2 linked regions of the Drosophila melanogaster genome follow. The protein of the gene in region 1 interacts with the protein of each later gene in a pairwise test. Each region holds a gene or a part of one and is shown in the gene's direction. Other genes may lie near its edges.

Evidence for each region.
Region 2: the proteins of Targ2 (region 1) and CG11409 interact in a two-hybrid assay, tested with the Drosophila melanogaster proteins (one large-scale study listed by BioGRID).

What each region holds. Positions count from the first base shown.
Region 1 is NT_037436.4:21,197,761-21,205,311, reverse strand, and holds Targ2 (terminal ADP-ribose protein glycohydrolase 2), read left to right. Parts: upstream 1-2,221; 5' UTR 2,222-2,234; exon of another isoform or gene 2,235-2,392; intron 2,393-2,429; exon of another isoform or gene 2,430-2,564; intron 2,565-4,623; exon of another isoform or gene 4,624-4,797; 5' UTR 4,798-5,017; coding exon 5,018-5,317; intron 5,318-5,907; coding exon 5,908-6,066; intron 6,067-6,128; coding exon 6,129-6,431; intron 6,432-6,583; coding exon 6,584-6,853; 3' UTR 6,854-7,051; downstream 7,052-7,551. Other genes in the region: CG10512 (uncharacterized protein), read right to left, coding at 1,990-2,221; Targ1 (terminal ADP-ribose protein glycohydrolase 1), read left to right, coding at 7,187-7,551.
Region 2 is NC_004354.4:1,338,304-1,343,209, reverse strand, and holds the start of CG11409 (uncharacterized protein), read left to right. Parts: upstream 1-1,622; 5' UTR 1,623-1,885; intron 1,886-4,906. Other genes in the region: Naa30A (N(alpha)-acetyltransferase 30 A), read right to left, coding at 1-718.

The sequences.
Region 1 (7,551 bases):
AATCGCCATCTCTCAAAAAAGTCCGGCGCGTGTAACGTGTTTATGTTTTATTTTTGATATTTTTGTCGGTGCTGTCTCTCTATTTTTTCTATTATAGGGGGCTCGCGGTCTATATGCACACATTATTTATTCACTAGCTTATTTATTATTTGTGTGCGAGTATTTCAAGTTATTTGCGCTTGGATGTGTGGGCCGAGTATCTGTGTGCCTGGTAATGACCTTGAACTTGTCGAAATTATTTCTGTACTTTGAAATTGATGTGTTAAATGGCAAGCGATAGAGTTGGAATAGAAGCGACGGTCTAGGGCATTTCAATTTGAGTTCATTTACTTGGTGGGTGGGTGGTTAGGAAAATATAAAGAGGATGGGGAGGGCGACGTGAATGGGCGTATCTCTATTTAATCCACATAACTTTGTTGACCTTACACAACGAAAGTGAATGTGAAAGATGGGCACATGGCACACATACATACCAGCTGAAACCCCAATTAAGTTGATGGCTTTACGAGCTTTATCTTATCGAAACCCAGTCACACCACTCAGAAAAAATTGAAATGGGCAACCACATGAAAATACTGCATGGAAAAGAATGAATTCTTGAGTACAGCACGTTAGTACATATTACTATAGCTATAGTTGTTGTACTCAATTGATTATTAACCAGATAAAATTCGATAAAGAGTTTGAACACGATAACATATTAATACTTGAACCTGAAATCTAGAATATAACAAAGTTTATTTTCAAACCAAACCTGGCTCATTTTCGCTTTAAATGGATCAAACACGACTTGGTTCATTTGCTGAATAATAAAAAAATACCCAGCACTCCATCTGCTAATTATTTAATCTTATATCAGTTCTTATAGGATTTCTGTCCACTTATCTTATCGGTTATAGCCTATATATGTCCCGAAGTACATTTAAAGAGCTTTGAGGAACAGACCCTAATTAATCTAGAGTAAACGAGTACATAACCAACAAGTGTTGGATTTGGTGAAACAAGTTTTATGACCGATTCGGTGCGCTCATTAACACCTTTTTTGAGTAATGGCAGAAAAATGATCGATCCGCGCTTCTGGAGCGGGTGTTATGTTGATAAAATGGCAATTGAAGTGGAACCGGTTATTAAATTCTGTTTCACTTTCTGCAATAAAAAGGAAGAGTGAGTGCTTAATGAGCTTTCAATGGGGCTATTAAATTGTGATTAGTAATAAATGCAAGGCAGGCGGAGACGAACACGCCTCCAATCCCAGTCCCATTTCGTTTTTATTTATATTTTTATCGTACATTAAAGGACAGTCCCCCATTTCATAATAAAATACCCACTTGTCTGCCAGAACATAAATATTATTTTTGGGGCTTTGCTGGGTTAACAAAGGATAAAGGATTGTGATGTTTGCGAATACCAGATAAAATATGTAATAAGAGAAACTGAACAAAAAAAAGCAAACAAAAATATAATACTGCAGTTGGTATGCGCTTAAATTCAAACGTATTTACGAATAACTTCAGTAGTTGATATGGAGTAAACTTATAAACTTATTCTCGGAAGATAGACCTTTGACCTTTATTTTTCTGTGGCTTAATAATGCCAGCAACTAGTTAGTTACATATTTAGTTAGTTACATATTTATTATTATTTATATATATTGTTTACGATTGATGGAAGACTTTAGATTTTCACTTACAACAGATTTTTAATTTTTTTTGTTTATTTCTAAATTAAACCATTCATCGAGTTACAATTATGAGAGGTGATGATATCAGTGATGTAGTTTATTGAATCGAATCGGTTGTAACCGGTACATTTTTTTGCCTAAGATCTCTTGAAAGTTTGAATCTAAGGTATCGTTATATCTCCCTTTTCGTTAGGCGCGCATATCTCTCATTCGGTTTTTATTTAACGATTTCGATGCATGAATCTGCTGCAGCATCATAAATCACCGAGTGCACGCGCTGTTTGCATAAATTAAGCTTATGAACTTACCGCCAACATTAGCATACGCATTTGGCGCCTGCGCAGCTGCAACAGCTGATGTTGCTGTTGTTGCTGTTGTTTTGCTGGACAAAAGTACAGCAGCATGTCGCCCACTAACGTGCAAATGCAATTGGCACCTTTGAAGCTGGGGCAGAAACCGCCAATTCGTAACGCAAACGTGGGCGTAACCGTCGTAGCTGACCGCCGTAACTGATCGTCGTAGCAATGTCAAAGCAGTCATATCGGCAAATAAGGTAACGTAACCCACAAAAAGGTAACCAAAACAGAATAGAAGAGTGTGTGAGAGAGAGGGGTATACAAATACGTATACGTATATTACGTATCGTAATGAAGAGAGACAGAGAGAGAGAGAGAGAGTAGTAAGAATCCCAATCAGAATCAGCTGAGCTGGCGTGACGAGTGTGAGCTTTGCTTTTTTCGCTTGCACTTTTTAGTTATTCTCTAATTCTCAAGTGACTCACAACGCTTCTCTTGTTTTCTCCGGGAGATTTACTCGCGCGCAGATTAATTGCCCAGAAAAAAAACGAACCTGGCGGGTCGTCAACTAACAAATTCACTACTACGTAAAGTATTTAAATTAACAAACAAATAAACACGCAATTTACGTAATTAGCACAACAAACAAAGCAACAACAACAACAGCAACGGCAGCAACTAGCGCCAATTGGCACGCCAAAATCCAAACAGTGCCGTGCTATAAAGCTATATTATATATATATTATGGCTCCCGGATCGGTCGTCTTTATTGTTCGAGGCGACAAGCTGAACTGCCGTGAACTGGCGGCATCGTTCGCAGCTATCGCTTTTCCTCACAAGGTGCCCCATCGAGAGGAAAAGCGAAGTCTAAATTTCAATGCAACAATTCGTTCAAAGCTGCGGCTTGACATGCGTAAATGTGTAAAGCTATATGGAGGCAAAGTGTTATGATTTACAAAAATATTCATTTAACTACTTTAAAAATCAGTGCTATTGTTAGGATATTTAAGGAAAAGCATAAGCAATTGGTTTGTTTTTGATGCTATTTTTTGGCGAAAAGCTGAAAATAAATGGTGGCGGTCTAGGATGAAGTAGAAGACATTAGCCGAGACAACCACCCACGCAATTGGGCGTCTAGTCATTCCAATTGGAATATCCGTTTGTGTAGCATAAAAAGAATATACTCTATGATATAGTCATAGGGCAATATAAATCATAAATTTGTTTTTATAGTCTACGACACAAACATATTTTTAATTAAAAACCAAAAAAATTGTCAGTTTATATAAAAATTTATAAAATGAGTTGCAAGTGATGCTTTTTCTTCGACGTTTGTTTTGAAAAGCAAATGTGAAGCAACATTCTCGTTTTATTTATAATACATGATCAATTGATAGTTAAAAATGGATATCACTGAATTCTTTTAGCATTTCTATTTTCTACTAAGTTTTTCCTATATTAACTAGTAAATAAAATATTTTTTCGTCATCCGAGTCTACAATCGACAAAAATCTTAAGTTTTTACCTCATACTAAATCGAAAAGCTGCTGCCGCTCTGCTGCCTGTTTTGTTTGTTTTAGAATACAAGTTGTCACTTTATATGGTTATTTGTTCGTTGTTTGTGTTGGTATATTTTATTTCACCTGCCATTTAATTAACGAATAATTTAAGTCATATGTATATTTATACATGCACTTTAGTCGGTATACAATCCCTATTTAGCGCTTGAGCGCCGATTACCTTTGACAGCGGCCCACGCACAGGTACACATTCACATACAGGTGCTTCGATCGGAACGATCCGTCGTTATTAATCTATAAAACGCTATCAAAAGCCTGCACAAGTTCTTAATTGGCTGTTACAGCGGCTTTGACGATTTCGGGCAATGCCAAGTCAACTTGTCGCTGAAAACAAACAAACAAACAAACTACGCGGTATCAACTCACACTTGCTAGCACATGTATGTCATCATCATCGCCACCAATCATCATCACTATCGTCGTTATGATTCAGTGGATTGTCATGCCTGCTGGTGGATTTTTCTCCCAAAAAGTTCAGTTAAATTAAAAAAAAAAATGACCAATATGCAATTTCAGTACATTTTCGGTATTCTCAGTACTTGATCAGGTAACTTTTAAAAATTAGGAAGTACATCTTTCAAAAAACTAGAAATGGTTATATATGATTAGTGCATTTTTTTTTTAATTTAGCTTAAAAACAGCATACTTGTGATTTAAAAATAAAATTTCAAAAAAAGATTCAAAACGAGTTCAGTAACTTTCGCCCGCTTTAACTTTCTAGGTCTGAAAACATGATCCATTTTGAAAACCCAAATCCATCTGTGCTTGGCAATTTACTCCGCAAACAAATGACAAAATGAATTTTCTAACACCACGATAAACACAATAGATTAATAATCATATATAAAATAAAATAATAACTCAAGTCGTATAGTATTAAGTGGAAAACGATGTGTTTTTTACAGTGCAATCATTAACATTTGGAGCCCCGCGGCGGCGCCTCTGGGCGAAATGTTGTCACTGAGGCTCGAAGATTCTCGCTGGGCTTTCGCCCGGCACGTCGCTTCACCCATAACCCATAACCCATACCACCATACCCATGCCCACATCCACATCGAGCTCCGATGGCGCATTCCGCTGCAGACCGCCGGCCGAGGCAGTCGATTAAATAGTAACCTCCAAACGGCATTGTAAATTGGGAGTGGGAAATCGGCGAATCGCCAAAATAAACAAGCTACCAACTAGCCGCTTGCTGTTCAGAATCCGTTAATAGCTTTGTTTTCATTCTGGTTTTGTGCAGGTTTCTGTGCAGAACCCAAAAACACACAGTCAAAACCATTCCGAAGTCGAAAAAGTTTTTATCGCGAGTTTTGACCTCGACGTGAAAGTTTCCAGCGCTGCGTGCACGTAAGTACGAAAATCATTTTTGGCATTGAGAGCTTCTGTTTCGGCTGGTAATCAGAATAATTTCAGCTTAATTGCAGTTGGATATATAATACTCTGTAGAGAGCTAGTGCGCCATGGCGAACGTGAAGATAGTGGAGTCCAAGCTGGACATATTCCACGCACCGCAGACACATTCCTTGGCCCATGCCGTAGAGTCATCCTTTACGGCGGAACGGGGAACTCTCGCCTGGCAGTTTGCCCTGATCTACGGGGATGTGGATGAACTACGGCAAAGAAGTGTTTCCAGAGGCAACTGTGCCGTTCTGGAGCACAATGCCCGATTCATATACTATCTGGTGACCAAGTCGAGTCTCTACGAGGCCAGCACTTACGGCGATGTCCAGGCAGCTTTGATCTGCATGCGGGAGCATATGGTGAGTGCTTTTTAGCCGTCGTCTTGGTGGTGGAGTGGGGGTTTCCCGGCAAACAAGTGACATTTCCCCAAAGAGTAAACACAATTCGACGCTTGGGAAACTGGTTTCTTTGGTGCTGCCCTCGTCAATTTACAGTTAATTCATTTGTACATTGCGATACAGTGAGTATCTAAAAACAGTTCGCCCCTTTTGTCATCCAAAAGAATTTCGCTTGTGTCTCATGTTTAGTCAAAAAACGATTTCATGAAATGGGCATGCAGTTAATTTATGTGGACTTTGGGACACAGTAGCAATCGGACAAATGGATCTTCCCATCTTAGCGTCGATTTTTCTTTATAAAATATTATCATTGGGTTGAATGATAATTGAGCGAAGAGAAAGTAAAGTCAGCTTCTTTTTATACCCAATGTTATGTTTCTGACCCTATAAGCAATACGTACATATATTGTTGATCAGAATGACTAGCCGAATCAATCGGGCCTCGTCCGCCTGTCCGTCAAATTATGTGAAGCCCTCAGAACCAAATTGTCATCAAGTCCGAGGTTTTGAAAATAGTGCATTGGGCAATTCTCACTGTAGTGTCTCTGCAGCGCAACCATGAGATCACCAAAGTGGCTATGCCCCGAATCTGCTGCGGCAACGATGGACTTGAATGGAAGCACGTGAAGCGTCTGGTGCAGCAGACCTTCTCCCAGAGCGAGTATCCCATCGAGATACTCATCTGTGAGCACGAAGACATGTCCAAGGAGGTGAGCCATCCAACATGGCTTATTAACAAAGAACAGTGGGTTAATACTCAGATAATCCACAGCTGGCTGCTCCCAAGTGTCAGATTACGGAGGCCAGGGGGAACCTGTTCAGCGCCCCGGAAAACTACGCCTTAGTGCACTCTGTCAGTGCGGACTTCGCTATGTGTGCGGGCATAAATCTGCAGTTCCGCTGCAAATTCGGACAAGTGGATGAGCTGAAGCGCCAACACAAGCATACCGGAAATGTGGCAGTTCTGGAGCAGGATGGTAGACATATCTACAACCTGGTGACCAAGGAGCGCAGCCACGAAAAGTGCACTTACGCAGCTCTCTACTACGCATTGCTGGCCATGCGGGAACATATGGTAAGGAATTGTATTTTTAAGGGCTTACAGACCAAAACTGCATTACTAAAATAAAGAGAAAGGTGAAACATTATAGTTAGGATCAGGTTCACCAAACTGTATTAGAGCAAGATACTGGATACTAAATATGCTTGCTATATTCTCTCTTTCAGAGGGAGCACGGAGTGACCAAGTTGGCCATTCCCAGACTTGGATGCGGCATCGACCGTTTGGATTGGTTGCGCGTGCGGAGTCTGCTGGATCTGGTTTTCGCCGAGGATAGCGTGGACATAATTGCATTCTTCTACACACCGCCACAAATGGTTAAGGACACGTTGAACGTGGTTTGTCCCACCTGCCGGCACATGAAGACCATCCATTTGCCATCGAGGTCCGTTAGTGGATCAAGAAATTCGCTTCATCGCGAAAAGACTCCCTTTTAATGTATATAGCCATCTTTGTTTGACACTCGAAATGGTTTTGCTTGGGACTTGTGGCATCATATGCACCAAATACTTATATAGTTGATAAGAACGATACACCTAAGAGGTTTTTATAGCACACAAAGTTTCCATATTTGGTTATTTATACTGTATTTAATGTATTAATAAATAAAACACGTCCTCGAGAGGATATTAACCAAAGATTGGAGTTTTGATAAATACATATATATACCCTTACGAACCATTATCTAGTGTTATCGTATGACCAAAAATTAATCTAGTAGCTGCCTGTTACACTAAGTCAGACAGATCTAAAACCCTTATTTAAACTAAATGTATTCTCCCAAACTTCTAGAACTACGTAGCGCATTTCGGCGAGCTTTTGTAGTCGGAATGTCATCCAAACCTCAGTACACCCTAAGCGAAGTGGATGGGGATCTGTTTTCCGCCCCCAAGACCTATTCCTTGGCGCACTGTGTGGGCGCAGATCTTGCGATGGGTGCTGGAATTGCCGTGCAGTTCAAGAAGGTATTCGGAAGGTTGGACGAGCTGCAAGCCCAACAAGCGGGCAGTGGAGATATTGCGGTGCTGAAGGATGACCAGCGGTACATTTACTACCTAGTAACCAAGCCTCAGAGCTGGGGAAAGCCCACCTACGAATCTGTACAAGCATCTTTGGAGCAGATGCGTGAGCATAT
Region 2 (4,906 bases), on another chromosome or scaffold:
TTTGGTGTTCAGCCTCGTATTCCTTATATACGATCTCGTCGGCTGAAATGGCAGGTTCCGGCAGTTGGAGCTGTGCTGTAATGGTGGGCGTGGCCCCCTCTGCATAGTCGGAGGGCGGTTGCTTCCTCTCCTGCTCCCGACTGTGGCCACTCCCCGTCGCCACATGCACTCCCTGTTCCACAGCTACATCCTCCGACACTTTTGGTTTTGGGTCCGTCGTTGTGGTTGGGTGTATGTTGGCAGTGGTTTTGCTTGTGGCTGTTATGGGCTTCTCCTCCGGTTTGAGGGAGTTCGAATCCGATCCTCCGCCGTCGCCTCCTTCTCTTCGCTGCTTGCGGTTGTTGTTGCTGCTGTCCACGCTGTTGTTGTTGTGAGTGCTGTTGTTGTTGTTGCTGCTGCCGCTTGTGCAGCGAATGTGATTGTTGTTGCTGTGCCCATGTGCATGGCCATTGACGACCTCCCCAAGCGGCCGAGCCTCCTGCTCCTTGTGACCATGGCCATTGCAAAGGTGCATCTTTTTAAGCAGGCCTCTGAGTTCCTGCGCTGGCTCCTGGTCTTCCGTCGCCTCCTCCTCTTGGTGCTGAACGTGTCCATTGCTGGGTGTCTGTGCCTCCACCTGGCCACTGGAATTTGGATTGTGATTGGGGTTCTTCTCCGCTGAGTTCTTTTTGTTCTTGTACTTCTTCTTTCCGGCCGCCGCTGCCTGGGCATCCGCCATTCTGAAAAGCGACGGAATTGGCTCTAAGAGGGAACCTGCTGCTCCTCCGGGGCTTATCTGGGAGGACTGGTAATCCTCGCCTGCAACCGTGTGCCTCGGACTTATTTTTGGTTATATTTTCACAGTTGATGGTTTTTCATTCACACGCACACGCACACGCTCACGCACATACTCACACACTCGCGCACGCACACATGGGGCAGTCGGCCGTCCTCTTTGTTGTGCTTCCGATATTCGGAGTTCCGGATCGATCAATCCGATCTCGATTTGTGGCGCTAGTGCGTGTGCATGGCAAACTTATGTAAAATCCTATATCCGCAAAACTCGTAATTTTCCTTGCTATGAATAAATCCCACCCACACATATGCGCGAACAGCTGTAACAGCAATCGATTGGCACTCGATACTATCGATACAATCATCGCCGGCCAACTGTGACTATCGGCTATCGAATTATCAATTGATATTATTACTATTAAATTAACAGCTAAGATTAATGAAAATATTTAAAAATTATATTAAATAAAATCTAAAACTACGTTGATTTTATCAAATTTATATTTGGCATGCACCTTACATCGCAAATGTTCATATATTTGATATTTGATTAGATTTGATCTTTGTAATATTATTACAATCTTTAAACGTAATATTCTCATACCTATATTCTTTATAGCTGCCATTTAATTTCTGACTTTGGAATGTTAACTTATTTGTATTTGCAATACTTTTGCCAAATTAGATCGTCAGCTTGTGCCTTTTTGCGAGGGTGTGCTGTACATAACGGAAAAGAGGATCAATAATAAGAAGAAGAAGCTGCTCATTTCAAAGTTCTCTTCTTGTTCTTCCTTTTCTTCTTAAAGAAGAAGCAACTATTTTACGGCGTAAAGATTTTTGATTTACGGGACTTTTGTTTGAAAAAAGTGCTGCAAATCAGTTTGAAGTGTTAGTTATAATTAAGTGCATGTCGTGGCAATGAGTAGCATCGAAATGTTACCCGAAAACGGATGGAAGTCCAATAAATTGCTCGAAACGTATGTTCACTTACACTCGCCATTTAAAAGTATACGTGTGTGTGTTTGTGTGTACGTGCGTGTTTTCTCCTGCGCTTATTTTTTTGTCTCTTTTGTTTTGTGATTTCCAAACTATTAAAAACGTTCTTCAATTGGTAAGTTACTAGTTAAATTCAGTTGTACTAATTAATAACTCTGCAGTGCGACCTTCGCCTACTTTTGGTTTCCTTTTCGCGCCATTAGCATTCGCCATAAAATAAAATCCATAAATTACAGCTAAATCAAATGCAATAAAACCAAATTACAATCTCGAATCATATAAGTCACATAAGTCACTAATCCGCAGTTTCCTGAGATCTGCACTTCCTCCACTTTCCTTGCCGTTTGTCTTGGTTGAGAACGCAGGATTATTCGGAACTTGCAAAGGTTTCGAGTCAAATGAAAATATAACCCCTGATTTTACAATGTATGTACATATGTATGTGGTAACTGCCAGGAGAAATCCGCCTGCCGTTTGCTGTCAATTTTGTGGATTTTTAACGACGGCAATCAGTCGACTGTTTTAGCGTTATAGCCCGTCGCTTTGATGGGGACTCCAGCTCCTCCCAACGTCATAATCGAAAGACTTGGGTAACGAACGAACTCGGCATGGCCGATGTCGTTGCCTCTCAGTTGGGCTGGCTGCCCCCAGAACTGGGACTACATCAGCACTAGCTGGTGACGAAATCGGCTGGGGAGGCCAGGCGGTCTCGATCTTCGATCTGCTTTCGGACCAGCATAGCCTACTTTGCATACGGAATTGGACTTGAATTTGATTGACTGAAATTGAATAATCCGAGCCACGCGATTGGATAATTTCTTGAAATTTTGCATACGAACTTGCAAGCGCAAGTTGGCGTCCGTTTTTCTGGACGTCTGTTTCACTTTTCGCTGTTGCTGCAGTGACGCGGGCAAATCCAAAATTAGCAAAGCAAACAACATACGGAGAAAGTGAATGGCCGAATAAAGTAAAAGCAGTGGCGGAGAAAGGGTAACGAAGAAAGGGGAGAGAGCGGGAGCGGACAGGTGCCGCAGCCAACGCCTTATCACCTTGCTGGCGGAGATCTCTAAAAGATAGAGATACAATTTAGCACTTAGCACCCACGTGACGAAATGATATATGCAGTTTGGCCACAATGGCATGGACTTCTTGTTTTAAACTATATTTTTTGTGTCGGTTGATCATGGTAACTGGCGGCTCCCCAGCCAACGGACATAGCATTGTCAGTTGGTTCGTCAGTGAAGTTGGTTCTATAAGTCAAGAGCTACGTATGCTAAGGCCACCTAAGGGTATTAGGGTATTTGGCCTGCGACCTGGGTATTTGACCAATTTTATTTTGCACATCCACGGCGCATTAAAGCAATTCACTTTTTGCGCGATGCTCCATAGCTCCATAGTTCCATAGCTCCAAGCCGAGCCCCACTCCATTCTCCCGAGCATTTGGCCGTGTCATGTCAAGAGTTATGGGCTTCGTAATTTTTCTGAGTTTTCGTTTATATATTTTTGGTTGTTTTAGTTCGGTTTCCTTTGGGGCTTTGTTGTTTGCCGTGTCGCAATGCTGCGAGTGTGCGCAAATGGCAAAGTCAAAGCGCATGCGCTCCAAATGTGAAGCACCTGGCCAAACCCTACCCCTAGTTCCACCTATGTACCTTACCCATCCCAAAACAACTTAAGTGAAGCATAAGGCATGCGGCTCGAGCTGAGCTAAGCAAACTAAAACCGCAGACGAATGTGTCGCGTCAGCGTTAAATTGTGTCAAATGTTGTCACACACAAAAAAGCAGCCTCAGCCTCCCTTTTTTGCGGCGAGGCGGTAAACACCGTTGTGTGCAAATGGCAAATGTTACAAATAACCAAAAATCGTTTTAATTATTTCGAGCAAAACGTGCCAAGCGCAAAATGAGCCCAACGTTTGTGGCCTGTGTGTGGCCCTATTGAGAAACTAGGTTTAACTGCGTCTTTAAATTTGTAGCAGTAATCGTAAGATAAGACAGAACTCTCATGTTTTGCAAACCCAATGGATTTTCCCGGCCGGTCCACTTGAAGTCCGGAGGGATCAGAGCGATCGAGTGGCAGCGATGGGAAGCACTGGAGCCCGAGTTCATTGAGGCCCATCGACGGTCTTCGATCGTTGAACGGCTATATACAGACCATGGCTGGCCGCGCTCCTTGTGCGTGAGTTTTATTATGCAAGCGGAGCGGAGCAGAGCAGAGACCACATGGTAATAAAAACCAAACCAATATTAGTCCGCTACATTGCGGGGCGCAGCAGCAGAAAGCCAGAGAAAACCGAACCAATCGAATTTGTCAATGGGGGAAAGAAGCTGGCCGAAGTGAAATGCCCGTGCGCTAGCAGAAACCCGTCTGCATCCACGGCAGAGTGCTGTTTACCTGTTCACCTTCCCTGGCCAGAGCCATGCTCCGTCTTATCATCGTTCGCAGTGTACTTGGTCAAGGCAAGCCAGCCACTTTTAACCGGCGATCAACCGATTTGATGGGAGCTGGGCGATCAGCGGTTACCACGACCGGCCTCGCGTCGCGATCGTAATCCCTCCCAAAAATGTCTTCTAAGCCAAATCGATTTTTAATTGAGACTTCGGCGCCAGAGCGCTGCACCCTGCGTTGCCCAGGGCAGTACTTAAAGAACCAGCCAACTAGCAATCTGCTATCGCTATGTCATGCCAATCATTCGAGATGAGGCCTCGTTATTATTAGGTGCTAAAATCGTTCAATCTGCAGCAAAATAGTTTAACTCAATGCAAGCTTGAGCCGTATGGTTACTATTTCAAATGTTATTGCAGTACATATAACAGTCTAGTATAGTACGAGTGTCGGCACATGACGTGCATTAACATGCCTTTTTAAATTGCTTTGTGTTAAGTGTGTTTTTACAATGAACCAATTTATGTAATGGCTCCAAGCGAGCCTAATAGATGGTATCGTATATGTGAGGCCAGCAAGTTGGAGCACCGAATCTAGGCTACGAAATGTAAGTTTATGCCATGCATTTCAAATGGGATTAAATGGATGCATCTAATCAAAGCACTCAGCATCCAGTGTTTTCTAGCCCCGACTTCTAAAGAGCCAGATCGCCGCAGCAAAAGCGGTAGTAGCAGCATAAGCCGCAGCAGCAGCAC